Linked DNA regions of Callithrix jacchus. The protein of the gene in region 2 interacts with the protein of the main gene of each other region in a pairwise test. Links are inferred from orthologs where the notes say so. Each region holds a gene or a part of one and is shown on either strand. Other genes may lie near its edges. The genes, in order: TRIM23, SORBS3, KIAA0408, TBC1D22B, EIF3H, VARS2 and PAK2.

Region 1 (3,298 bases), on a different chromosome or scaffold from region 2:
GACCTCAAGTGATCTGCCCATCTTGGCCTCCCAAAGTGCAGGGATTACTAAGGGTGCGAGCCACTGCACCCGGCCTAAGTAATTATAAGGCATCAACTTAAAAAAAAAATTAACACACGAAAACCTTAATAAATAGTTTATAAATAGGGTTATATATTGAAGAGTTCACTACATTTCCCGCTCTGAACACCCATTGTCCCAGGAGCAACCACCAGTAACAATGTATTTTTCCAGAAAATTTCCATGCATGTTCATGCAAATAAACACAAAGAGGAACATAGTTTAGACTTTCTATAACTTGCAGGGTTGGTTTTTTGTTTTTTACATAAACATGTTGAAGATATTCTTCCATTATCAGCACAGATTATCTGCATTATTTTTAATATCAGAATTCCCTTCCATTGTGAGGATACAACAATTTAACCAGTCCTATACTGAATGTTCAGATTTAAGTTTTGTGCTTATATATTACAAATCCATATATATACACACACATATAATACATAAACATACATATACAACAAGAGTTGACATACACGTATGTATATCTGCAAAATTATCTGCAGGATAACCTTTGGATATTTGTCTACCAGATACAGAGAAGTAGAATGGCAGGGTAAAGGACTTTGATGAGTATTGCCCAATTGTCCTCCAAGAAAATGTCTCAGTTTAATAACCCACCAAGAGTGGGGTATACTTATTTAAGAAATCATACAATAATTAGAATATATTTATTTTTACTATATCAGATTCAAATCCCATCTTATTGAAGGAGTAAAATGTATCATATTCAAAGTGTATGGAATTTGGCCCAGTGCAGTGGCTCACACCTGTAATCCCAGCACTTTGGGAGGCTGAAGCGGGCAGATCACTTGAGGTCATGAGTTTGAGACTAGCCTGACCAACATGGTGAAACTCTGTCTTTACTAAAAATACAAAAATTAGCTGGGCATGGCGGCAAGCAGCTGCAATCCCAGCCACTTAGGAGGCTGAGGCAAGACAGTTGCTTGAACCTAGGACAGGGAGGTTCAAGCAGTGAGCAGAGTGCCACCGCACTCCAGCCTAGGAGACAAAGCAAGACTCAGTCTCAAAAATAATAATGGTGTATGTAAGTCTGAAGATTACAAAACACTTTAATCTTTATCTGATGAGCAGAAAATGGTGTTTTCACACAGGCTGCCTAGTATGGCAGGGGCACCTACAGATAATGAACAGTACAATTTCAAGTAGTTTACATAACTGCTCAGGTTTAGTTTCCCCATCTATGACAGGATGTACAACACTTGCTCTATCAAATGCAAACTGGTCTGTATATCAAGGAACATTCACTGACTTATTTGAATGTCTTAAATATACCAGTTGTTAACAGTTTGCCTTTTTTCATTAAGGGGAAAATTCTTTATTCTTCATCCTATTCTTCCCCTCCCATGACATCTCTCTACTTCACTTCTACTCTCCTTCTACTACCTCTACTTAAAGGCATCTCATCCTCCTAGAAAGGCTCAAGGTCAAGGAATCTTCAGCTACTCTCAGTCCTACATCCCGGCCATTCAGTCACCAATTCTACCTCAAAGTCATTTCCATCTGCCTCCACTTTTCTATTTCTCTAATTCGGAGTCTTGTTAATGCTCACTTGAATTATTTAAGCAATTTACTGCATTTCTCTGTCTGTAGTCATTTGCCCTGATTCACTCTACCCCTAGAATTATAGTATCAAAACACCGATATGATCTTATTGCCCACTAGTCCAAAAACATTTTGATGTTTCCTCTTTGCTCATAGAATAAAACCTAAATTTCTCAGTCTAGCTCTGTCAGGGCTTTACAGCATGGTCTTGTCTGTTATTCTAGATTCTCTAGAATACCTGCACCTGACATACAGATATGCTTGATATTCCCTAGACTAAAAACATTCATGCTATTATCATCTCTGTAATGTTCATCCTTTCACATATTGACTCAGCCTCATCCATAATTTCAGCTCAAATCCTAAATTTTACAATCTTACAACATGCCACATTTAGAACTACTCTCCTAATTCCCTGTAACATTCTGTTATTGAAGTCACTTATCAGTTGCCTTTGTATTTGAATCTCACTTATGTGTTCATATGCATACCTGGGAGTTTCTGGTAAACATGAACTACCTTATTTCTATTTTGTATACTCCCAGGTACCCAACACAGCATTTTTCACATAGATGTACTCAAAATACACAGAGAAACTTTATAAATATCTGTGGAATTGATTTTCTGAAATATTTCCAGTTTTCTTATGACATGGAATGCACAAAACTACTAAAATAAGTATTCCAATATAAAAATGCATTACCTGTTTGTTAGCAAAAATCAGGAGCAGAGCATCTCGGAGTTCTTTTTCCGTTAACAACTTTGCAAGTTCACTGTGTGCTTCACTAATTCTGTCTCTATGGCTGCTATCTACAACAAACACAACAGCTACCCAAAAAAACAAAAATACTAATTAGTCACGTGCTAAAGTTCAGTAAATGGACCAAATATTTAATGATATCATTATTATATTATGGTTAGAGTTTGTCTACCATCATCATTTTCACACAGGCTGCCTAGTATGGCAGGGGCACCTACAAATAATGAACAGTATGATTTCAAGTAGTTCATATAACTTCTCAGGTTTAGTTTCCCCATCTATGATAGATTTACAACACTTGCTCTATCAAATGCAAACTGGTCTGTATATCAAGGAACATTTTTTACATAATGAATTTCAAAATATGCCTCATGATCTTCTACCTACTGATGCTACTTGTTCTTCAAATACTATTTTTGTAATATTTTATCTTCAAATAAAAGACTAAAAGATAAAAATGATCACCATTTTTCTCCCTGCAAAGTATTGTCTCTAAGTTAACTATCCCCATACTTTCAACCATTCTTCATATTCAAAATTCCATTTTTGCAGGGCACAGTGGCTGACACCTATAATCCCAGCATTTTGGGAGGCCAAAGTGGGAGGATCACTTGAGCTCAGGAGTTTGAGACCCTTGGGCAATATAGTGAGACCTTGTCTTTACAAAAAAAAAATTAAAAATTAGATGAATGTAGTTGCATATACCTGTAGTTCCAGCTACTTGGAAGGCAAAGGCGGGAGGCTTGCTTGAACCCAGGAGGCAGAGATAGCAGTGAGCTGCAATCGCAACACTGTACTCCTGCCTGGGCAACAAAGCAAGATTCTGTCTCAAAAAAACAAAAATTCTATTAATTATGGCTCATACTAAATATCAAAAATCCCAAAGTAAAAATAATTCAGTCTCTAATCTTG
Region 2 (4,132 bases):
AGCCCAGTGGGGAGGCTTCGGGGTGGGCCCTGCATGCTTGGGTCAAGGTCAGAGGACCCTGGGCGAGCCAGCTGCTCCTCTGCGTGTCCTCTGTGGGGAAGGAGGAAGGAAGGGAAAGCCCTGCTAGGCTGGGCTGCCCTTGCCCTCTTGGCTCGACCCTGGGGTAGGGGAGGAGGGGCTGGCTGTGGGAGGGGGTCAGGACCAGCTGGGTGCGAGCTCAAGGACCCAGGAAACAGGCCACACCAGGCACCCGCCTGCAGGCTGCCCATGCCTGCCCGCTCCCAGAGGCACAATGGGCCGCTTGTTAGGCCCAGGGCAGGAGCTCTGGGTGGGAGTGGGGGTGGGGGAGCTTGGGTGAGGAGGAGGGAGGGGAGGGGCAGCTGGCCAGGAGCCCGTGGGGCTCTCCCTGCTCAGTGCAGTCCACTTCCCTACTCCCCCCAGAGGGAAGGCACAGGGAAACTGGGGCAGCTGGCAGAGAGGGGGCCTGGGCACGCAGGACTTTGTTTCAGTTCCCTCTGTCTTCCCCAGGCCCTGTGTGGGCATCTCTTGCCCTCGGACATAAGGGATTACTCAGGCCACCCGCCCACTGCCCTCCAGGAAGTGGCCAGCAGGGCCCTCAGCCCGATAAGGCCAAGGGGAGTGGCAGGGGCATTTCCAGGCAGCAAGAGCCACTCTTGTGAGCTCACAGGGAGCACGGGGCCCTTCCTTGGACTCCGTCACAGAATGAGGACTGGCGGGGGCTCCAGGTGGGTGGAGAGAGAAGCAGTGGGTGAAGGCAAAGCTGAACCTGCTCATGCCCACAGAAGGGTGGTGCTGAGTGCCCTGGGTGTTCTGCATGAGGGCATGTGCACACGCACACACACACACACACACAAACACACACACACACTGGCTCCACTTTCCCCTGCCCCACCAGGCTGTTTTGTGAATGGAGGGTCTCTCCTGGCAACACCACTCCTGCCTGCAGCCAGATTCTTCTGCCCCATGCCAAGGCTGGGGAAGGGGAAGGGAGCCCCAGGCACCCAGGGAACAGAGGGGCAAGAGGGGAGCCCCGAGGGGTGGGTGCAAGAGGACAAAAAGGGGCTCCCAGTTTGGAGTGTCCAAGGGGAATTTTTGACCCAGAGCACTGCGCTATGACGTCTGTCCCTCCTCACCTTAGCTGCTGGACTGGACCAGACACAGCCAGGCTCTGCCACCTCCCAGGCCTGGATTGAATCACATTTGCCTGTGCCTGTGGGGTCCTTGGGGACTCTCAGGGAGGTCCGCAAATGCATCGGGAGGAGCTGTCTGTGTGTGTGTGTGTATGTGTGTGTGTGTTTGGGGCGGGGGTGGGGGGAATCTGGGTGCAGAACTGTGAATATGACTTCTGGAGGGGCCCCCGGGGGGACCACATGAGCTGTACAGGGGTTGTGGATACAGAGGGGTGTCAGCTGAATAGTGGTGGGGGTGCAGTCACATAAGCAGTGTAAGAGCTGGGGGGCAGAGGGGATGATGGTAGACTAAGGCTGGGATGACTCATCCCCTGGACCCAGTTCCTGCCTAGGGCTGGCGAGGGTGCAGCCAAGGCTGGGGGCAGCTCCCTGTCTCTGATCTGAGTTTGTGGGGACTCCTGACATTTGAGCTGCTGTGACACAGCTCTTCTGTGCCCATGACGGATGGGGGGCAGGGAGGAGTGCAGCGCTGAGGCTGGAGGAGAAGCAGTTCCCCAGCTGGGTCCAATTAGGACTCCCACCAAAGCAAAACATGCAGACACACCCCAGTCCCAGAGCTCCACCTCCCCTTTTGGGGGATGTTGAGGCAGGGTGGGGTGGAAGTTCCACAGGCCTGGAGCAGGCTGGCTCCTCTCAGCGCCCCTCCCTGCCCAGCTGATTGCTTCAGGCCAAGTTGCTGCTCAGCAGCCAGGGTCTGGGCCATCAGCTGACAGCACCTTCCTTCCCTGGCCTCCCCGCCCACCTCGTGCTCAGTGAGAACTGCCCTTTTGGAGGATGGGCAGGGCAGGAGGTCCCCCCACAACCTGTATTCAGGGGTTGCTGACCCTTGGCGCTCCCATCTGCACCTCCTCAACCCTGCTCCCTGTGACACGCCCCCAGGAACCTCCAGGGAAGGGTGGTCTGAGTTCTCTTGGCAGCCTGGTCAGGAGACTTAGGGAGGACTTCGAAGAAGAGGGGAGCATCTGGTGACTGCTCCCCCATCTAGCAGAGAGTGGAGGGGCCCTCCCAGATTTCAGGCCGCTCTGCCAGGCAGGCAGCCAGCCCCAGGAGCAGGAGAGAGGCTGGGACTCTGCTGGGGTGGGCCCTGGCCTTCCTGCTCTGAGCACTGCCCTGGCCGTGGGGGCCTGGCCCTAAGCGCTTTCCCAGGTATTTCTCAGCTACAAGGCCACGTGGACTAGGACAGCGTTTCTTGAATTTCACTTTTTCTGGAATGAGGACTGGGTCGGGGGTACTTCCCACCTCTTCCCAGAGTTTGGGACATGGACTCCAGGGAGGGACTCAGTGCGGTCCCCTGGGGTTGGGCGCAGGTCCCTCCCTCCGGCCTCGCCTCCTCCCTGCCCCTCCTTCCCAGGACCTACCTTCCCCGGAGAGCAGGTGGCCGGGCCCGACGTCGCCTGGGAGCGCAGGAGCATCCCTGCCCCGCTGCTGCCTGGAGCGGGCGCTCGGGGAGGAAGGGCAGGGAGAAGCGCGGGCCGTCGCGGCCCTCGTGACCGGGTCAGGACTGGCCGGGCCAGGCCGGGCGCCCGAGGAGGAAGAGGGAGGCCGAAGGGGAGCGCGCGCGGGAGGCAGGATCAGGAGAGTAGCGCGGCGGGGCGGGCGGAGTTTGGGTCTCGGATAAGTACAGCGAGCTGGGGCTGGGCCGGAGAGGAGGGGCCGTGAGAGTGCCCTCTGTCCTTCGGGGCGCGGGGACACTGGTGGCCCCTTGCCGAGGGGGCCGGGCCGGCGCGGAGGCGGCGCCGGGAGGGGCCACCGTGGGTCCCCGGGGAGCCCGCTTTGGTTTCCCAGCTGCCATGCCGGCCCGCACCGCGGTGCTGGCGTCGGGGAGGGGTCGGGCGGGCCGACGCGGGCCACTCAGAGTTTCCAGCGACATTTCCAGAGTGTGGGAAGCGAGCGGCCGCGCTGCGGAGTCAGGACAGAGGGCAGGAGTGGTGAACCGCGGGAGGCGGGGGGAGGCGGACAGACCCGGAGCGAGATGAGGGCGCCCCGCGGACAGAGCGGCCGAGAGGACCAGGGAAGGCCCCGCCGCCCCTCCGCGCTGGGAGAGTGTGTGCCTGCGGCGGCGCGCGACTGGGCGTGTGTAAACAAACACGCGCGCGTGCACTACAAACGTGCGGACGCTCACACACGTGCAAGCATGGGGAGGAAATTGGACCAAGGGAGCGGCCCCCTTGGGTGTGCCGCGCCCCTAAAGAGGATAAGGGCGGGGTCCATTTGGCGGGGATGGGATTAGGAGGGTCCTGGTGTTCCCAGACACTGTATTTGTTTTGATCTGCCTGCTTTTCCGCTGTTCTTGCTGCTCTGAGCTGGGTCCCCAGAGCCCCGGCCCTCTGGCTCCCCATCCACTGTGGCCATTCCCTCTTCCCCTCTCTGCCCCAAGCCTCTGTGTGGCACAGGGCCTACTTCAGAAAGCGAGGGTGCTTAAGGAACACTGATGTACAGTGGGAAACCTTGGGATCCTTTCTGGTGCTTGGGTTGGCTCAGGGATCCCCAAGCCTCAAACCAATCAACCAACTAATAGTTATGATCAACTTTAGATACCAGCTGGGAGCGATCAATGCGAAATGATGAAAACTAATGTCATCTCCTGCATTCCTACTGGGTGTCAGGCTGGTGCCAGAGGCCACCATGAGCTTTGGAGTGTTTTCCAAGCTCTCCGTTCAACTCAAAGGTTGGAAGGAAAGAGAGTGGAGAAAAGACTAAGTGCGTTTCAGTCCCTACCATTACTGCTTTAGCTAGCCCAGTTGCTTTGAATCAACATCACATGTGAAAGCTGGAGATGTTTGGGTTGAGATGCTTCAGATGGGGCTGCTGGCCTCTAGCACCTGCGGGGCTGCTGTGTGGACATAGACAGCCGCACCAGCAGCAGTGGGACCACTGGGAGCACATCATAGGAAAGCAGGTCCCAGGCTTCCCAGGAAGAT
Region 3 (3,500 bases), on a different chromosome or scaffold from region 2:
CTAATTTTTGTATTTTTAGTAGAGACGGTGTTTCACCTTGTTGACCAGGATGGTCTCGATCTCTTGACCTCGTGATCCACCCGCCTCGGCCTCCCGAAATGCTGGGATTATAGGCGTGAGCCACCGCGCCCGGCCTCTCTTGTTTCTTTTTACCCCTAGCTTTGAAGCCTGTAAGAAGGTATGTTTTATAAATGTTTGGCATATATATTAGTAAGGGCAGCACAGTGCTGGTATCCAAGTCTTTATTGAAAAGCATCATCTACAGGCATTAGGAGTAAGTACATTATCTAAACAAATTCACAGTTATGGAGCTGTATAGTACAGGAAGTAAAACATAAGCAGTACTACAGCTACTCTCCAAGATGAAAAAAATATGACAGCCCTTCTATCTCCCTGGAAAGGGATGTTATCTCTATGAGGTATAATTAGATGTCTAAAGCATATTTCGTGCCTGCTAATTGATAAGGCTAATAATATTTACCTTAAATGAACCCTGTAGAATTGTCAGAATACTTATTGGACAGTAATCAATTTAATCAGACAGCAGTTTATTTTGACTACACGGCTTTAAAAATTGGCTAGATGAATCCTGCTTCTCTTAGGTATTTTGCTTGGATGCTAGAATTGTCTGAGACTGTTATGAACTTCCCAAACATGTGAAAGCCAATGACCTATGACTACAGATCAGTTTCTGTTGAACTGGAGTTTTGGATTCTGATTTGACCGGGGCATCTCTTTGTTGATACAATCTCAGTATGGGTAGAGGAGTTAAAGGAGCAAGCAGGACACATTTTCCAAACTACAGGGACAAGAAGTATATTCTTTAATCCCTCATCATATACTACATGCCTGCCTTCTCAGCTCTATTTTAGAGGAAGGGCTTGATAGCTACTTTACTTCAGTTTTCTTCCTACTATGCCAATTCATATTTTATTTGCAGTCAATTACATGGCTGTTAATAAGAAAAATTACTGCACTATGAAAACATAAAGCACTTACTTTGCCTGCAAAAAAGGCCAAGAAGTCTTAAAATAACAACTTTGGTAATGCGCACAAAACCATATAAAGTCAATACTATGGATGTTACTAAAAGAAAGCAAGATAAGCATAAATTACTTCCAGTTGGTGCAAAAGCTTAAATATACATCAATGCAAATGCTTGAAGGAAATTTTCAGGGTCAACGGACTGAGGGAAGGTTAATGGGAACAAAATGACTGTCAGACTCATGATATGTTATTTTTCATAACCTCTTTTTCAATAAATGTGCCAATAAATGTATATAAGTTGATAGAATAAATCTCATGTCCACTGTCATTTTCTGTTTGATATATGATACTCCTTTTGATTATAATGAGTTATCTAAAATGTAATTTCCTTTAATAGATATTACTCATAAATCTTCTTAGGAAGGATCTATGTTCTAATGCCCAATTATAATTTTGCTAATCTATGTCCCACCAAGTATATCTTTCTTGCATTTTACTCCTGGCCCTGGTATTTGAAAACTCACGCAAAATACATACCTCACTTTTGATAAAAAGGCTCTCTAGCCAGAAAATAATAAGTTGAAACATTTTGGAGTGACATTTGAAATGCTTAATTTTCATGCAATGATATAAAATAATCCTTACAATACCATTGAGTAAGATTATGCTATATACTTCTTAGGTGGAATAAGGAAAATAAAAAGTTTCCAATCAAAACAGTCATCCTGCACTTAAACATTAGAGTACATCCACAACAAATTAACTTGTACCTCTTCTATTTTCTTCTGCATAATCTTCCATTGACTTTCCCATTCCTTTCTTTCGTTGTCAAACTGGTCCAGTAATTCCATCTTTTCCTTATGCCACTTAGTCTCTGTGTTCTCCCACTGCTTATGTAGGTCCATGGCAACAGTGTCAGTGTCGGCGAAGAAGTGTTTCTGCTCCTCTCTGCCTCCTCTTAACTGTTTCTTGGAAGCTTGAAGTTGTTTTATTTGAAGCAGTCTCACTTGCCTTTAAAATAAAGCCTAATATAAACATAACAAGAGAGAGTTCCAAATCCATGTGCTTTTTGGAAATATATTTTATCATTTTGTCGAGCCATTGACATAAACAAACTATAGGAAAATTGGACTCAAAAGAAAAGAGATGACAAGAGTCTACTTAAGAAGAAGAAACTAACACAGTCAATAAAGTAGTAAGTATTGTCCAAAGGTTTTTTTCCCTTTCTGAGACCAGACAGCAAAATTATAGTGGACAAGATAATTAAATGCACATGTGAGACAATCATTCCTTTAACCATTTATTCTAAAAATAGATTTTTTTTCATGAATATCTAAGAGGAGAAGTATACAATTCAAATGTATGGTCACGTCTACACACTGTGGCAGATTCTGCTGCAATAAAATTATTTTTTTGGTTCTGATACAACCTGCTTATATATTCTTATGACTTAAATTCCTGAGCCAGAGCTGGGTTGCAATCTTAATTCTTCATTCAGAGATCAAGCCTGTGCCAAATGTCATTACTGTGTTACTTATTAAGACCCCAAAGTTGGTAGTCAACTTGGGACTGATGTACCATTGAGAAACTAACCTAAATTATATTTAAAAATTCATTATGTCACTTCATAAAGGAAAATCTAGAAGCATCAAAACTATACTGTAAAATATATGTTAAAATTTATCCATGCTCTCTTTTCCTTTGAATAGACTATACCCCTGACATAAAGTGCTTAGGAAATTGAATACAGAGAACTGAAGAAAACATGTAGCTCAGTTTTCAGGGAATCCTCTATTACATTAAGTAGTGACTAAAATAATGAAATTTCTAGAATTCAGGGTATGCATATTTAAGGTTTGAAGTCACAATTTAAAATACCAGCTATGTAACTCTGGTATAAGTCTAAAATTTCTGAGATTTAGATTTTTACATTAAAATGGGAATAGTCATAGAGCTGTTAAAAAAGATTAAATGGCATACTGAATCCAAAGTAGTTTGAGAAATTTAAGAAAGTTTTCTATTTTTGGCTTTACAAAATTTTGTTTTGACTTCGATTAAAAATAATTTTGTATTAATAAAGTCATGTGCCTTTTTAGGAGGTAGAAAAGCATGTTTAAAATGTTTGAATCTCTGTGTAAGATAATTATGCCTACAAGATGTCTAACTCTTCAGTCACTAGGCCATTACCAAATTGCTATGACTTACTTGTGGCAGCTTATGCTAATTATAGACAAAGATCCCAATAGTCAGTAGCTTTGTGGGTTCTGGCATTCCCAAATTAAGCCCACATACCCAAGCAGCAAGTGCCAATTTTGTATTCACAAAAGATAATGGCATATTTCATATCCTAAGTATAAGATAAATATCGAAGACTAATTTTATTTTTGTCAGACTGTTCTGAACGTACATATCTGAGTGGTAAACAGTTTTGAATATACGTTTTTTTGAGTCACAGTCAATGAATTAGAATAGAATAAGAATGAAAAACATTAGCTATATATGCAGGGTTCTAC
Region 4 (4,179 bases), on a different chromosome or scaffold from region 2:
GCAACCTCCAATTCCCGGGTTCAAGCAATTCTCCTGCCTCAGCTTCCCAAGTAGCTGGGACTACAGGTGCACGCCAGCACACCCAGCTAATTTTTGTATTTTTAGTAGAGCCGGGGTTTGGCCAGGTTGGCCAGGATGGTCTTGATCTCTTAACCTCGTGATCTGCCCGCCTCAGCCTCCCAAAGTGCAGGGATTACAGGCGTGAGCTACCGTGCCCGGCAAAAGTTCTCTATTTCTATGTACTTATTTATTTATTTATTTAGAGATGGAGTCTTGCTTTGTCTATTTATTTATTTAGAGATGGAGTCTCCCTTTGTCACCGGGCTGGAGTGAAGTGGCATGATCTCGGCTCACTGCAATGTCCACCTCCCAGGTTCAAGCTGTTCTCCTGCCTCAGCCTCCCGAGTAGCTGGGACTACAGCGCCACCACACCCAGCTAATTTTTGTATTTTTAGTAGAGACGGCGTTTCACTATGTTGGCTAGGATGGTCTCAAACTCCTGACCTCGTGATTTGCCCGCCTCAGCCTCCTAAAGTGCTGGGATTACAGGTGTGAGGCATTGTTCCCGGCCCTCTCTCAATTTCTCCATATTCTTCAAAATGAAAAGGGAATCCAGAAACTTGAGGAAACTGAAAAGACTTCTCTTCCTATCTCAGAAAAGTAGTGCTTTTAAAATGTTGACTCTTCTATAGTCAAACACAGGAGATATGGGGAAAAAAGACTGTTAATAGCAACCACCAGTCAGAAGGCAGAGAAGGCCATGCCATGTCGCACATCTCTTACACTGCTTCCTGATACAAGTTTTCCTATTGATTCTGATTATAATCTTAGGATGTCAAAATTTAATGATCTCACTATGGAAAATCCCAGAGAATAGCAGTCAGCACAACCAGAGAGCTCACTAGACCAGGAAGGAAAACGAATCAGCTGGCAGGAAGTGGTGCTTACCTAAAGACATAGAACATCTTTAACAGTAATATTAACACTGTAAATCCACAGCACTTTAATCTGAAGTTATCTTTGCATTCCTATTATTTTAATAAATATTACTAAAAGCTGATTTCCACCCTATTCTCCATATGTCTAATAGGATCCTTAATAAAATAAGACTTGCTGGGGCATGGTGGCTAACACCTGAAATCCCAACACTTTGAGAGGCCAAGGTAAGAGGATCACTTGAGGCCAGGAGTTACAGACTAGCCCTGGCAACATTGTGAGTGAGACTTTGTCTCTATTTCATTAAAAAAAGAAAAAATTAAGGCTCTTATCTAGCCACTATTGACCCACATTTCTCTCTTGCTTAAAAATAAATAAATAAATAAATAAAGTCTGCTGGACACAGTGGCCCACACCTGTAATCCCAGCACTTTGGGAGGCTGAGGTGGGCGGATCACAAGGTCAGGAGTTCGAGACCAGCCTGGCCAATATGGTGAAACCTCGTCTCTACTGAAAATACAAAAATGTGCCAGGCATGGTGGCGCGCATCTGTAGTCCCAGCTATCCAGAAGGCTAAGGCAGGAGAATCGCTTGAGGCTGCAGTGAGCTGAGATCACACCACTGCACTCCAGCCTGGACAACAGAGACACTCCGTCTCAAAAAAAAATCACGAGTTCAAAAGATGATCTCACAAGGAAAAAACCTGAATCCACTAGAAAAGGTAGCACGTGGGGCACAACCAAACATGAATTTCATCACCAAGTAGACTGTGGCTGGCAGAAATCTTAAATTCACGACTGAAATACACACTCTACTTTATACTTCTCAGGACTCTCCCCAAAATAAACTGAAACAGTAAACCAATAGATTGATGGATGGGTAATTTGCTAAAAGTCTCAACATACACCAAAAAAGGGGTGGGGGGTAGTCTGAGGAGGTCTGCTCTCCAGCGAAACAACTGAAGAATGAAAGAATTTAGTACATTTGCACAAGAAGAGCATTACAATGCAAGGAAGGAAGAAGTCACTTGGGGTTGGACAAATCCTTAGAAAATGCCAAAGGAATAACCCTGATTCTGTGGTCGCCTTGTATTAATTCCTAGTGGGAAAGGGCCAACTCAAGATAAAGTAAGGTCAGGCTTGAGAATTGTCCTCACTTTTCTTACCTAACCCTCTCGGCAAGAAGCCACAAACTCACACCAGAATCCTTCGGGTAATTGTCCAGCTAGGGGAACAAGGGAAGGGGCCATCCTCAAGCAAGCAACCACCTGTGCGTGGTGGAGACCACTGAGAGGGAGTTCTGATTAGAGTGGGAAGCAGCTCTGGGGATGAACCTCCGAGACCAGGGCCGACACTGACTTATCTCCCAACTCCACTGCGGGTTACGCCCAATCTTCGGCCACCTTCCAGCTGAGGTCACCCCTCCTGAAACCTCCGCCCCCAGACCCCGGTCTACACCCACATCCAGCCGTCCCCAAAGCTCGCTGTTCTCTCCTCTGCCTGACAGCTGCTCTGCAGCCACCAGGCAGCCCCAGTTTTCCCCGCCTGGCTTCCCCAAACCAGTCTTCCGGCCTCGGTGGCGCCCCAGGCCCGCGGGATTAGGGATTAGGATCTGGAAGGGTTTGGTCCAATCCCCTTTCCCTCTCAGCGTCCTGGGCTCACCTCCCCGGCAGCTTAGCGCTCCTCTTCCAAAACTGCTTGCTGTTCTCAGCGGCCATTGCTCTGGCCGGGGGAAGGCCTTGTAGGCGGGCCAGGGGGGTTGCCTGGAGAGATGCCCCCAGACCCCGCAATCTGAGGGCCAACCCAGGCCGCTTCCCCGCTGCCGGTCACCCACTCCCAGCTCCTGGGGACGCCATCTTGGATTTGGGCACCCCTCCACCCAGCGCCGCTGCCATTGGTGGGCTGCGCAAGCCGTGGCCGGGCCGGCCAATCAGAAGCCGGAATCCTGCAAGCCACTGAAGCCAACGGGTAACGTCAGGGGCAGGGCATACAGGTGGACGGGGAAGGCGGAGCTTGAAGGAGCAGAGAGGCGGGGCTCAAAGTTCCTGCCCTCGAGAGGAAAGAAGCAGGTAAAGTAAGGGACCTAAGGAATGGAAGAGAGGGGATTATTTTCTTCGTGAGGAATGAATTTCCTGAATCTAATATTTTTTGGCAAGGGCGAGATGTATTTATGTATAGGAATCTTTAACCTAAAAGTAAGGGCCCATGTGTTGATTGTGTTCCATTTTTAACATCTCTCAACTCAGGGACACTCTGGTTATTTACCCTCCCCTTCCTCGTTCCGTTTAGATGTCCGTTCGTTTTTCTGAAGGAAGGTCATCAGGGATCCGATAGCCCGGGGTTGCTAACGGTTCAGCACGTGAGCAACAGTTCATCAGAGTCTCCCTCTCGCTCTGTTTATTGAAAACGATGGAAGGAATTGTGCTGTGGGTGAAAAATTCAAATTATCTAATCCCGATGTCAATTCATAACTCTCACTTTCTGACTATGCTAACAGTGTATAGGAAATGGTTTATGATAGCCGTCCAACTCAGATTACCAAGTACCATTTCTCTGAAGGACACAGTATAGCTCCATCGTGTGAATCACAAAGTTAAGGATACATCTCCTCCTCACCCACCAACATCCTTAATTTCCCTTGTTAATCTATTATAAATCTTGCATCCTTGGATTTATTTTCAATCTAATTTTCACAATGAGATTTAATATTAGCATTTAAAATATCTTGTCGGTGTTTTTTACTGTTTTTGAGTTTCTATGGTTGTATTCCGTGGTGATTTGGGGAGAGAAAGCAGGCACCAGTCTAGAGTGGTTTTTGTCCCATTCAAGGACTGTTGAGGTGGGCTGCGTGTCCCCCACCCCCTCACCCACCCCCCATTCACAGCTACCACATGTAAGTCCAAATATTGGAGAATACTTGAAGACCTGATCCCATGGGTCCTTCCACACATTGGAGAATGCTTAAGGACCTGAACCCTGGCCCCAGCCAAAGAAGGACCTTCTTTATATGTCCTCCAGCTCCCAGTCACCCCTCTATTCTTTTAATCATTTTACCTGCCTTTCTCTGGCGCTTCTTTTTCTTAAGATGCAGTGACCCACTGCACACAAAACCCAAAGAGGAATGTACTAAGGCTTTGTTAAGGTGGATGTTTTGTCTGTATTCTGGACAGCCAGAACTTTTGCTGGCTGTTTGAGCTTTGGAAGAGTTGATGTCTTGAAGTAATAATCTAAAACAACTTCTAGA
Region 5 (3,500 bases), on a different chromosome or scaffold from region 2:
AAAACAAAAAATGCCACTATTCCACTAACGAGGTACCTGTCATCAGACTCTTGGAAACACAAAATAGAATGGTGGTTGCCAGGGGTGAAAGAAGTGGAAAAAGGGATTGTTCAATGGATACAGAGTTTTGAGTTTTGTAAGATGAAACAGTTCTAGAAAACTACAGCACAATATGCATATAGTTAACACTACTGTAAGATATACTTAACATTTTTATGTGCTTTTTACCACAATAAAAGGTTACATAGAAAATGAAACCTGCGAGTTCAAACAAGTGAGAAGTTATTTTAAACCTGATTTTAAAAAAATCTTGAAGATGCCGACCTTGGCCTTTGACGTGAGCTTTTAACTGCTGTCGGCCTTTGCTAACAAAGCAACCACGCCTGTAGTACAAAAATAAAATATTCCTAAAATGCTTGAGGAGTATCTTCTTTTTGAAGCAGAAAATTGAACTCTATCTCTTTGTAAACACTGACTTAGTCAAAAGAGGACAGAAGGGAATGAATACCAGACACACAGGGATCATCTATGTCCCTCAAAACTTTAGTTATTTGGCATGCTGACTTCAGATTGACAAACTGACAAAGTCAACATCAACACAGATCCTATCCAAACTATTACAAATCAGAATCATAAATTCCAAATAAGTAAAACCCAAACTAATGACATCTATAGTACATATCCTCATTTCCCAGAATTTATAATTTTCTCAAAATATTAGAAATCAAGTCAAGTAGGCTAGCCTGACATACTCCCAATTCATACATTACCAAAAGTTACAGTGAGAACTGTGTTAACATCCATTTGTATGCACTGCAAAGACACACACTAGTGATGAACACTCTTACCTTCATCAAAGTCAGCATCATCCTCTGTGTGCTGAGGGAAGGGAAAGCAGTTGGTAATTTCAAGCCGATCTTCTACAACCAGGCCCAAAAGCACTCCTTGAACAACTTCAGTTCCTTGTCCTTCTTCTTGATAATGTTTGATTATCTTTAATACCACCTAAAAACACACACACACAGAAGGGAGCTTAACAACATCCTACTTTATTATTTCCTTTATTTCTAAGAAAATAAATAAATCAACCGTACTCACAGGTTTGCAAAACCACAAAATTAAATAAGAAGAATAAATAAATGTCTTACAAATCATTTCCTTTACCCTTACATAAATAATAAAGCTCACATAATCTTAATATATATCTGAAATTCCAGGAGTTTGACTATATGTCAAAAATGTCCATGTACAGCACTTATGCTCTTAAATCAAAGCTCCCCCATAGTCTGGCATCTAGGAGTTCCTTCAGCCAAATCAAACAATACACCCTCAACCTAGAGCTATTATTGAAGAAGTGATCCTGTTAACAGAAAGACACATAAATGACAAAACCATTAAAAGATACAGAGATAAAGGTCTCAATTATCTGGACACCTGAAAGCAGAGCCTTCTGACAAATTCTCATTTTGCCTTTCTCAACAGACCATCTCCACAGTCAGAGGATGCAACAACGGGAATAGGTACCCACACATATCCAATAAGAATCTAGTTGGTAACAAAGAACACAAACAGAGCAGTCTCCAGCACGATCTAGTTTTTCTCAATCGGAAGGATTTGAGGGAATGTGTTCTCTTTCCGGGTCCATGACAGAGCATAATTTTAAGGGCAAAAACTTCCCAACGCCATGCCCCCCTCCCAACTCTCTCCATCCGGGAGTTTTAACGGTTTATGTTTGAATTTCACGGGCGTGGGAAGAAACCAAAAGTCAATCACTCCAGCGGAAGTTCTAACGAACTCCTTTCATTGGCCCAAGGTCTTAAGAGAAGGTGGTGGTTCCTCCCAGGATAAAAGTCCGTGTCCACACACTTGGCCAGATTTCCCCTCTGAAATCCCCTTCCACATTCTGCATGGAAGTCTTTCTCTTCTCCTTTCCTTCTCTTTTCTCTACCTAAATAAAATCACCTTTCTGAAACACTTCTTGGGTCCAACATTTACTTTTATGCGCATACAGCACACCTGCAGGGGTCCCATCACTTATTCTTTAAGGGATAGGAGGCCAAGAACCCACAGCATTCTCTTGGGGGAGCTGTGCCTCGCCAGCACCCAAAAAAAAACCCGGTTACAGATTCATTAAACAACCTCTAATGGAATACTCAGGTCTTATATAACTCTCTCCTTGAATATTCTCATAAAGATAAAAGAGGTAACACAGTGTATGGGTGGACAAGCAATTAAAGTCCATAATAAGAATCATCATCATTAATAATTTTGTGTGTTTTTTTAGGTGGTTCCTACAACATGGGGTTAATATATATAAAGTGCTTTTCATAGTGCCTGGCACATATTATTAAGAATAGTAACATTAATATTTAATATAAGCCCAAGGCCTGAAGACCTAAAAGGCAACACAGTCAAAATTATAATGGGAAGTTCACAGAGGGAAAATAAGTTTAACAAGAAAATGACAATTTATTTGTACGTTATTGATTAGTGCTTCATTTAAAACAAATATATTATTGTTAGAAACTAATTAATGGGTGGGCCAGGCAGACACAGGGCAGGCAGCTACTTCTGCCTGCAGACTGAGCCCACAGGTCAGCTCAGCCACAGGGGTGGCAAACAAACAGCCTAGGAGGGAATCAATGTGGTTGTCAGCTAAACCTGCTCCCACAAAAGTGGAAATGAAGCTAAAAAAGGCAGCAGGAAAGGATAAATCTTCAGACAAAAAAACGTGAACAAAGGGAAAAGCGGAGCAAGGGAAAAGAGGCCAACATGGCTAACGAGGAAACTAAAGAAATTTGCCTGCACAAAATGAAGAAACTAAAACTGAGAAGAGTCCAGCCTCTGATGAGACCAGAAAGAAATAAGCCAAGTTTGATTATGTCAGAATACACCATGTCTTATCGGTGGCCCCTATTTCCCTTCTTGTACAACCCAGAGGAATACTGTTATCAACTATTTTGTAAACACAAGTTTGTGTGAGATACTGAATTATGGGAGGGTTTCACTGTCTTGAGTATCAGCTTAACATTCCATAGTTGGGGGGTTAGCTTTTATATCCTACAATACAAAGCATACTAATCGGCAATATGGAGTTACAGTTCTGCATTTAATGTCTTGAACATTTTAAATTACTTTTATTCCCACATTATTTTTTAGTAGAATTATTTCCTAAAGAGAAACACTGTTTTTGATCATGGCTCTCTCCGTCATAATGGTTGTGCACTCTGTAACATTTTTGGTTGTGGTAGTCCTGTTTTTCTAATTAACTTTGTTAATGTGCTGTGGAAGATTGAAATTTTGAGTATGTAGTCTGTATGCTATTATATTGTGAATTGGTGGGATCTATGTAACAGCTTATCAACATGCGAAAGTACTGGTTCTTGATAATCTCTTCAGGAGAATTTGCTTTCCAATTTTAAGCTGGAATGTCACTAGAATAACTTTTTAAAAATTACAACACATGGCTTTTTAGATTTTCAGTACCTATGTTCAGAATT
Region 6 (4,232 bases), on a different chromosome or scaffold from region 2:
CCACTGAGGAGCCCTGGAATGACCTGAGTGTCCACCTCTAACAGCGGTTGCTCAGCCCATCACCCTATTTAGGGACCCAGGCATTGCCACCTCCCTGCCCCACAGAGATTTCTAAACATCCTCCAACACTCACAGGGACCAAGGCACAGAAACACTCACAGCATCCATGGTAAAACACTCTCGATCCCAGTCCAGGGAGGCACCCAGAGCTTGCAGCTGCTCATAGATCTCTCCACCTTTCCTGTGCCCAGAGAGATCCTTGTCAGCAAATGCTTCCCAAGCACTTCCCATATACCAGGCCCAGCAATGCCCCCAGCAATGCCAGGTGCTGGATGAAGATCAAATGAGGATGGCATTGATCCAGCCTCTACAGGCTAATAGAAACAGACTCACAAACCCAGTATGGGGTTTTCTAAGATATTTAAAGAGGCAAAAGGTTCTATAGGGAGAGAGGAGGGCCAGCCACATTGTGTGATATCCAAGGATGCTTCACAGAGAAGATAACATGAGATAACAGACCTGGAAGAATGAGGGTAATTCCATGACAATTGGAACGTAGGAATGGGTGAGTGGAAGAAGTTGAGATTTACACAAGAGAAAGTGGGGTAAGTAGAGAGAAAGAAAAAATGCACAAACACACGAACATTCAAATACATATATAATATACACACAGACACACACACACAAATGGCTTGGAAACGCCACCAAACATTAAGGGGCTCCAGAGCTTCCATCTCTGTGTTGGGACTACAAGTCAGGAGTGATAGTGGTGGGACATAAGAACTCAAATCTGCCATCTGGGCCCCCCTACCCCTGCCCATCATACTCACGCCTCCTTCCACTGCCACACTTCCCTAAGGAAGTCCTCCTGGCTCAGCTCATGTCTCCTCACTCCCCGTTCCTTCCACAGTTGTTTTTCTACTACAGCCTGCAGTTGGATTCAGGGGAAATGAACAGTCAGGTTGGTTTCAGGGAAGAAACTGCTTTCACCCAAGAAAAGGAACATATAACAAAAGACATACTTGTGTAGCGATTCCCGCGTGATCGGAACCAGGGACCCACAGCACTTGATCCCCACGCATTCGATGCCTGCAACAGAAATGCCCTCCCGTGAGCACCTGTGCTTAAATGTTTATCCTCACTCATTCCTACCCTTCCTACTTCCCTTCCAAGAACTCAAGCAGCCTCCACTCCCCTCTCACCAGCGCACGAGGGCATCCTGTATGGCCACCGTGAGTGCGTGGCCGATGTGCAAGGAGCCAGTGACATTGGGAGGTGGGATACACATGGAAAAGGTCTCCCCTGTAGCTTGGGGCAGCTGGGCCTAGAGGAAGAAAAAATGTCAAAGGGCAAGAGAGAATTGGATTGAGGAAACAGCACCCTCTGCTGTCTCCAAAACAAAAAAACTTCAGGGAAGAACTGTCCTGCAAATAACAGGAGGGTGGAGAGGAGGGAATCGCCCAGGGGGAACCTGCCAAGAGAAATCTTTGGAGACACCAGGGCCAGAAAGAAGGCAAAGTCTACAATGTCAGCTCAACTCTGAGGTTCCAGTTGTATTCAAGGGCCACTCTGTCCTGAAGAACATTTAGGACCTCTCCCCACCAGATACGAACCTGATATTCTGGTTTGAAGAAGCCCTCTCGTACCCACCACGGGTACCAGGCAGCCTCAACATATCGGGGGCTGTATGCAGGAGGCAGGGGCCCCGAGACATCTGTGGAGGTAAGGAGAGCTCCACTAACCACTGAACATGTTCCCAAGCTGCATTTCGGCGGGCCAAATGGGTAACACAAATGGGAAAGAAAAGACCTTTTTACTTATTCTACTTACCTTTCTTTTCACCGGGTTTCGTAGGGATTTCATACAATACTACCTCCTTAGGACTCCAGGCCTTAATGGATTCTGCAGGCGACTGAGGAGAAAAAGCAGAAGAGGCTGGGATCCAGTATACCCCAGACATCTGCATTTCAGCGCATCTCGTCCAGCCCCTCCCAAATCTCAGAAACCCAAGAACTAGCTGTCTGACCCCTAACCTTGCTCTCCCCTGCTATCCCAGCCTCTAGAGTCGCCTGCTTCTCTCGCAAGCGCTTCTGTTTGGCTTCACGGTTCCTCCGGGAGATGGGAGATCCATGGGGTTCCGACTGTGTAGAAACGGGATGGAACCTGGGGAGGCCCCATGAGGGCCTCAGCCCCAAAATAGGTGGTCGAAAAGAGGATAGAGACAAATGAGGCATCAGGAGTATTTGGAAAGGGGCTGAGATCTGTTCTGGATAGAGAGAGAGCACATTAGGATACGGGGGTGCAGGAGGCTCACTCTCCTTGTTCCATCTTTCCCGGCTCTGATCAGCACGGGTCTGTTAATCCCTCCCACACCACGTTTCCTCCTGGAGGGCTAGAGTGGCATAGTGTCGACAGACAGTGTCGTGGAGCCACGGAGACCAGGGCTCTTCCGGAGCACGGCCGGAGTGTCTAAACTTGGCCGTAACCACTGACACATGTGAGGGGAGGGCACAGAAATTCAGGGAGATGATGGCCATCAGCGCTCCCAGGAGCAAGCAAGGAGTCCTGGCAGGGCCGCTACGATCTCCGCCAGCCCAGGGGCCTCCTGCAGCGCCCACAGCTCGGCGCGGCCTGGCCTTCCCGCCTATACCAACGCGTTGACCCAGGCTCCGCAGCGCTTCCCACTTCTCAGAGAACGCCCCAGCATGCGCTCACCGCGAGATCCCGCCGCTATCCCAGGGCGCCCCGCGGCTGCAGGGACTGGGGACTCCACCTACCCCGGACCCTGGAACTTGGCCGCGGAGCCGCGCGGCGCATGGGGGCGGGGCTCAGGCCGACGCATGCGCAGCAGCTTGCTTCGGCCTCACCCTCTCCCTCCCGGTCCAACGGCAGTAAACGCAGAGGACGGCGTTCGCAGCGAAGGCAGACCCCACAGGGAGGCGCCTGGGACCGCACTGTTCACTATCACAACTTTATTAGACAAGAAAAGTCCCGACGCGTAAATAAAAAACACCTGAGTTCTGAAGCCCCGCCCCGCCCGGTCCCGCCTGCCGAGGTCCGTCCGGGTCCTAGTCCTGCCCTCTCAGGAGCTGTGTTTCTGCCGCTTCCAAAAGCGCTTGACGTCGCTGTGCCCGGCTGGGGTCACCACCATGAGCCTCTTGGCCGAGTTCTCGAACACCAGCACGCCCAACTCGCGCGCGTGGGCCAGCAGCAGCTCAAAGTCCACTTGCGACAGGAACTGGTTATACAGGACGCCTGGGGTCGGCAGAACGGGAGGGGCGTCGGGAGAAGATGAGAAAGTGAGGTTCGGAGCTCCTGCTGGAAATCCCCCCAGCTCCTTCGTGGCAGCCCTGGAGAGTGGTCTGGGCTTTCCCCCACTGCAGTTCTAGAAACTAATGATCTATGCTTGTCTGCTCAGGGGTTTATCTTAATACCAGTGTGATCGGTCATATTCATAAAGGCCCAATAGAAATTACTGTGAATTATTCCCTCCCCTAGGGACTCACCCCAAAACAAAAAACTCTCTTGCCACCTTTTTTCTCCTATTTCATGAAGTAAAAATTAAAATGCATGTAACGCTTTTACAGCTTATCAACACTGAATTGCCTGCCCATCCTCTGACCAATGACCAAGCCTTGGCCACCAAAAGCGACTCACCCTCGGTGAACCGGAGTCTGTCCCTTTCCAGCTCCCAGAGCCGGATCTGGTCCGTGATGGTGGGGGGGAGCACAGGTGTCTGCAAGGAGCAAGAGTTGGCTGTAGGGACTCAGGAATACTGCCCCAGACTACCTGGCCCTCCGCTCCTTCCCCAGATTTGGATGCCCGTTTTTCTTTTCCATCATCTGTCTCATCACCAGCTGCCAGCCTCTGACATCTTGAAGCCTGCCTGTACCTGTTTGAGCATCACTGGATGGGCCCTTGTCCTTAGGAAATGGATTATCTAGGAAAACAGACAAGAATGGCATGAGGGCTCCAGCAAGAGGACACGAAAGCCATCTGAGCTGTCACCTAATGTCACTGGAACATCAGCTTACTCTAAAAACTCCTAACCGCTGTCATCAACTCCACCCATCCCAGTTCAGCTGTTATCCCAAGTTGCTGCTCCCAGTGGTCACGTCTGCTATTCCTTCTCTGGCACATTTGCCCTTTCCAGTAATGTTTTGCTTTTCTTTCTTTAAAATAGCAACAGCTACTATTTTTTTTTTTAGCACTTATTGCATGGCAGGCGCTGA
Region 7 (3,500 bases), on a different chromosome or scaffold from region 2:
CAATTGAGGAACTGCAAATAAAACAGTAACTACTTCCAAGAAGTGACTGTGTTTATGCAATAACTTAGTTTTAGATGACTCTGAAGACTGAAAGTTTCAACTGTTCAGTACCTTTCCATAGTCTGTATTCAGTAAAATAGTAGCAGAAGAACTGCAAGGTAAGAGAGGAAAATATACGCTAGCAAGTTTTTTGTATTCACGCTTGTTTGTATATGTTAACATTACCAAAAGCAGCTTAACAGTTCTGAAGGTCATTACAAATTTTAGTTACATTAAATATCATATCAAGGAATTTCTATTTAATATAGCTTCTGCAACTAATCAGTGGCTAGCTAAAAACACCTATTGGGTAGTTAGTCACCTCTGATGGCTGTAATCTATTTTAGAAAGCAAAATAAAAACTGAGATTTGTCTTGGGTAACCTAAATCAGAACAAGAGCTACAAGAAAAAATATCATTAACTTACTGCTGGTGTTCCAGAAGGGAAGCCATCTTTCTCTGAATATGAAACAAAACATAATGTTAGCAATTCAAGAAATAGCACTTTTATACGACAAAAGGAAAAAAATAAAATAGAGAAAGCAAAATATTCTTAAACTGATTTCAAGTTGAATTAACTCTTGAGAAAAATGACAACACAAGTAGTCAAATAAGAATTTATGTAAGACCGGCTGGGCATGGCAGCTCATGCCTGTAATCCCAGCAATTTGGGAGGCTGAGGTGGGTGGATCACGAGGTCAGGAGATTGAGACCATACTGGACAATGTGGTGAAACTCCATTAAAAAAAACAAACAAAACAAAACTATATAAGAATAAGGTAATAAATCTGAAATCTAAATGAAACTATAAATTTACTAAAAATGAGTGATGAACTGATGAATGAACTGTATTGCATGCAACTTATACCTCAACAAAGCTATCACAATTTATTTGAAACTATACCTATCAATGTGTATTTATTAAAACTAAACAAATTTATTCATAAAGATAGTTCTTCCAGAAAACTGCTGAGGAACTTACTGAAACCATTAAGACAATGACAATTGTGCAAAGTAAAATTTTGACATAGTTTTTTCTTTTAAAAAAGCCTGGAGACACACACACACACACACACACACACACAAATGTATGTGTACCAGATGAAAATAAGCTACTATTTTGTGGCCAATCATTGATTTTTCATAAAAATTACTAATCTGCAGACTTACTGATTGATAGAAAAGTTCTAGGAACATGTCTGACCTTTTCCTAAGGGCATTCTAGACTAAATAAAAAAGGTCAAGATCACTTGCAAAAAGATTTCCATTTCTTCCTTGAGCATGGCCTTTATTTCTGTGAGGATGCAAACATTAAGCATCATCAATTAAAATAACACGCATGATTTTTCCTCAATCATACTGTGTTTGAAAACCACATGTATGACTTCAGAGAAAGGGAAACACACTTAAAAATGACATCCTGAGGATGTAGTGAGCAAAATCTAAACTGAGGGAAACAGGACAAATGATCTTGTTTCTTTAACAAACTGCAAGAAAAGACAGTATGAACCAGTGTGTGGGAGGGGAAGCCTAAAGACCAAAAGAGATTCAAATCTATCAACCAACTGCAATGTGTGAACTTTATTCTGATCTTTATTTGAACAAACTATTTTAAAAAAATCCACTATACCAATTCTTAAGAGCACTGGTTCTCTCATACATCTCAGATACTGAGCAAGTGGGAAAACAAAGTAAATCAAACCCAATTTCCATCCAGCTACATTTATCCACAAAGTAAAATCTACATTACTAGGACTACATAGATTATTCCAGATATTCCAATTCTGAGGTATAAATCCTTTTAATTCTAATGCTTATTTTATATGTGATTTATCTATTTTATATACTAAAATACATATATTCTATTATCTGCATACTTATGAGTTTCATTTTTTGAGTGAACCTAAACATTTTTTAGTTCAAATCTGTGCAAAACAACCTTTCTCTTGGTCCCACTAACAATAAGTATATTTCTAGCATAAACATGTCTATCAATCAGCGTCTTCTCTTTTGATTGCTGGAAGTCATTTAAAAGCAGTGAGAAGTGAAAAAAAAATAAAAATAAAAAACAAAGAGGATAAAAAACCAAATAAACAAAAAGCCAAAATATTTAACAACTCCCATTTCTGCAAACCTATGATATTAATATAATTCACAGATCCAAATTATGCTTCAGAACTGCCCTGGATCAGTCTATAGAAGGTAGAATCTAACCAGGGGAAAAAAGTATGGACAAGAACCATAGTTTATTAGCTTTTTATTTTTCCAGAAGTAATCTTTTCATCTAAAAGTGCTTCACAAATCTCCATCTGATTCAGCCTTATGCCATTGTCTTACCAGGAGGAGTAAAGCTCAGATATTTCTGCTTCACTGTGTTGGAGTCGTAGAACTTTAAGACATCTAGCACAGCCTGAGGATTCTTCTTTTGCTCTAGTTTGGTGATATTGGAGGTCTGTAGTAATCGAGCCCACTGTTCTGGCATGCCCTAACAAAAAGATATTCAGTAATTAGTTATGGTTTAAATTGATTCAATAAAATTAATTTCCAGAGATAAATGACAAAACAGACAAAACAAACCAATCCTCTGAGTATAACTTTGACTAAACTCTAAAAGATCTAGTTTTCTAAAGTTCGATTTTTCTAAGTCTGTTTTGCGTAACTATAATAGGCTCTGCTCTCTAGGAAAACAATATATCCAACCACTAACACTTTTTTAAAAAGCAAAAAGCTTTAAGAATTCATAGTTAACATATGGATAGAAATGTTAATTTATTTTTTTTGTTTTTGTTTTGTTTTGTTTTGAGATGGAGTCTCACTCTGTTGCCTGCCTAGGCTGGAGTGCAACGGCATGATCTCAGCGCTCACTGCAACCTCCATCTCCTGTGTTCAAGCTATTCTTCTGCCTCAGCCTCCTGAGTAGCTGGGATTACAGGCATGCACCACCATGTCAGGCTAATTTTTGTATTTTTAACAGAGATCGGGTTTCACCATATTGGCCAGGCTGGTCTCGAACTCCTGACCTTGTGATCTGCCTGCCTCAGCATCCCAAAGTGCTGGGGTTACACGTGTGAGCCACCGCGCCCGGCCTTGTTTGTTTTTTTGAGACAGAGTTTTGCTCTTCTTGCGTAGGCTGGTGTGCAATGGTGTGGTCTCAGCTCACTGCAATCTCCGCCTCCTGGGTTCAAGAGATTCTCTTGCCTTGGCCTCCTAAGTAGCTGGGATTACAGGTGCACATCAGCACTCCTGGCTATTTTTTTTGTATTTTTAGTAGAGATGGGGTTTCACCATGTTGGCCAGGCTTGTCTCGAACTCCTAACCTCAAGTGATCCGCCCACCTTGGTCTCCCCCAGAGTACTCGGATTACAGATGTGAGCCCAGTCTGAAGTGTTAATTTCAAATTTAGTAATGAAAGAAAATGTTTGAGTGCTATTTTAAATGTTATAAATAGGCCCAAACTAGGT

Evidence for each region.
Region 1: the proteins of SORBS3 (region 2) and TRIM23 interact in binary tests that used the Homo sapiens proteins (3 or more experiments, as listed by UniProt). The two-hybrid records come from large-scale screens. The link is inferred for Callithrix jacchus from reciprocal best matches to the Homo sapiens genes SORBS3 and TRIM23.
Region 3: the proteins of SORBS3 (region 2) and KIAA0408 interact in binary tests that used the Homo sapiens proteins (3 or more experiments, as listed by UniProt). The two-hybrid records come from large-scale screens. The link is inferred for Callithrix jacchus from reciprocal best matches to the Homo sapiens genes SORBS3 and KIAA0408.
Region 4: the proteins of SORBS3 (region 2) and TBC1D22B interact in binary tests that used the Homo sapiens proteins (3 or more experiments, as listed by UniProt). The link is inferred for Callithrix jacchus from reciprocal best matches to the Homo sapiens genes SORBS3 and TBC1D22B.
Region 5: the proteins of SORBS3 (region 2) and EIF3H interact in binary tests that used the Homo sapiens proteins (3 or more experiments, as listed by UniProt). The two-hybrid records come from large-scale screens. The link is inferred for Callithrix jacchus from reciprocal best matches to the Homo sapiens genes SORBS3 and EIF3H.
Region 6: the proteins of SORBS3 (region 2) and VARS2 interact in binary tests that used the Homo sapiens proteins (3 or more experiments, as listed by UniProt). The two-hybrid records come from large-scale screens. The link is inferred for Callithrix jacchus from reciprocal best matches to the Homo sapiens genes SORBS3 and VARS2.
Region 7: the proteins of SORBS3 (region 2) and PAK2 interact in binary tests that used the Homo sapiens proteins (3 or more experiments, as listed by UniProt). The two-hybrid records come from large-scale screens. The link is inferred for Callithrix jacchus from reciprocal best matches to the Homo sapiens genes SORBS3 and PAK2.

The regions. Positions count from the first base shown.
Region 1 is NC_133503.1:143,903,339-143,906,636, reverse strand, and holds part of TRIM23 (E3 ubiquitin-protein ligase TRIM23), read right to left. Parts: intron 2,455-3,298; coding exon 2,330-2,454; intron 1-2,329.
Region 2 is NC_133514.1:18,945,740-18,949,871, forward strand, and holds the start of SORBS3 (vinexin), read right to left. Parts: upstream 2,801-4,132; 5' UTR 2,570-2,800; intron 91-2,569; 5' UTR 36-90; coding exon 1-35. UniProt on the Homo sapiens protein: Vinexin alpha isoform promotes up-regulation of actin stress fiber formation. Vinexin beta isoform plays a role in cell spreading and enhances the activation of JNK/SAPK in response to EGF stimulation by using its third SH3 domain.
Region 3 is NC_133505.1:134,022,110-134,025,609, forward strand, and holds part of KIAA0408 (uncharacterized protein KIAA0408 homolog), read right to left. Parts: intron 2,013-3,500; 5' UTR 1,893-2,012; coding exon 1,758-1,892; intron 1,087-1,757; exon of another isoform or gene 1,000-1,086; intron 1-999.
Region 4 is NC_133505.1:45,599,801-45,603,979, reverse strand, and holds the start of TBC1D22B (TBC1 domain family member 22B), read right to left. Parts: upstream 2,801-4,179; 5' UTR 2,654-2,800; coding exon 2,598-2,653; intron 1-2,597. UniProt on the Homo sapiens protein: May act as a GTPase-activating protein for Rab family protein(s).
Region 5 is NC_133517.1:80,710,821-80,714,320, reverse strand, and holds part of EIF3H (eukaryotic translation initiation factor 3 subunit H), read right to left. Parts: intron 1,006-3,500; coding exon 849-1,005; intron 1-848.
Region 6 is NC_133505.1:35,708,224-35,712,455, reverse strand, and holds the start of VARS2 (valine--tRNA ligase, mitochondrial), read right to left. Parts: upstream 2,801-4,232; 5' UTR 2,716-2,800; exon of another isoform or gene 2,262-2,715; 5' UTR 2,235-2,261; coding exon 2,034-2,234; intron 1,913-2,033; coding exon 1,831-1,912; intron 1,715-1,830; coding exon 1,614-1,714; intron 1,325-1,613; coding exon 1,203-1,324; intron 1,090-1,202; coding exon 1,023-1,089; intron 929-1,022; coding exon 831-928; intron 242-830; coding exon 160-241; intron 14-159; coding exon 1-13. Other genes in the region: GTF2H4 (general transcription factor IIH subunit 4), read right to left, coding at 3,083-3,255, 3,658-3,736, 3,893-3,940. UniProt on the Homo sapiens protein: Catalyzes the attachment of valine to tRNA(Val) in a two-step reaction: valine is first activated by ATP to form Val-AMP and then transferred to the acceptor end of tRNA(Val).
Region 7 is NC_133516.1:25,336,374-25,339,873, forward strand, and holds part of PAK2 (serine/threonine-protein kinase PAK 2), read right to left. Parts: intron 2,525-3,500; coding exon 2,377-2,524; intron 499-2,376; coding exon 467-498; intron 1-466. UniProt on the Homo sapiens protein: Serine/threonine protein kinase that plays a role in a variety of different signaling pathways including cytoskeleton regulation, cell motility, cell cycle progression, apoptosis or proliferation.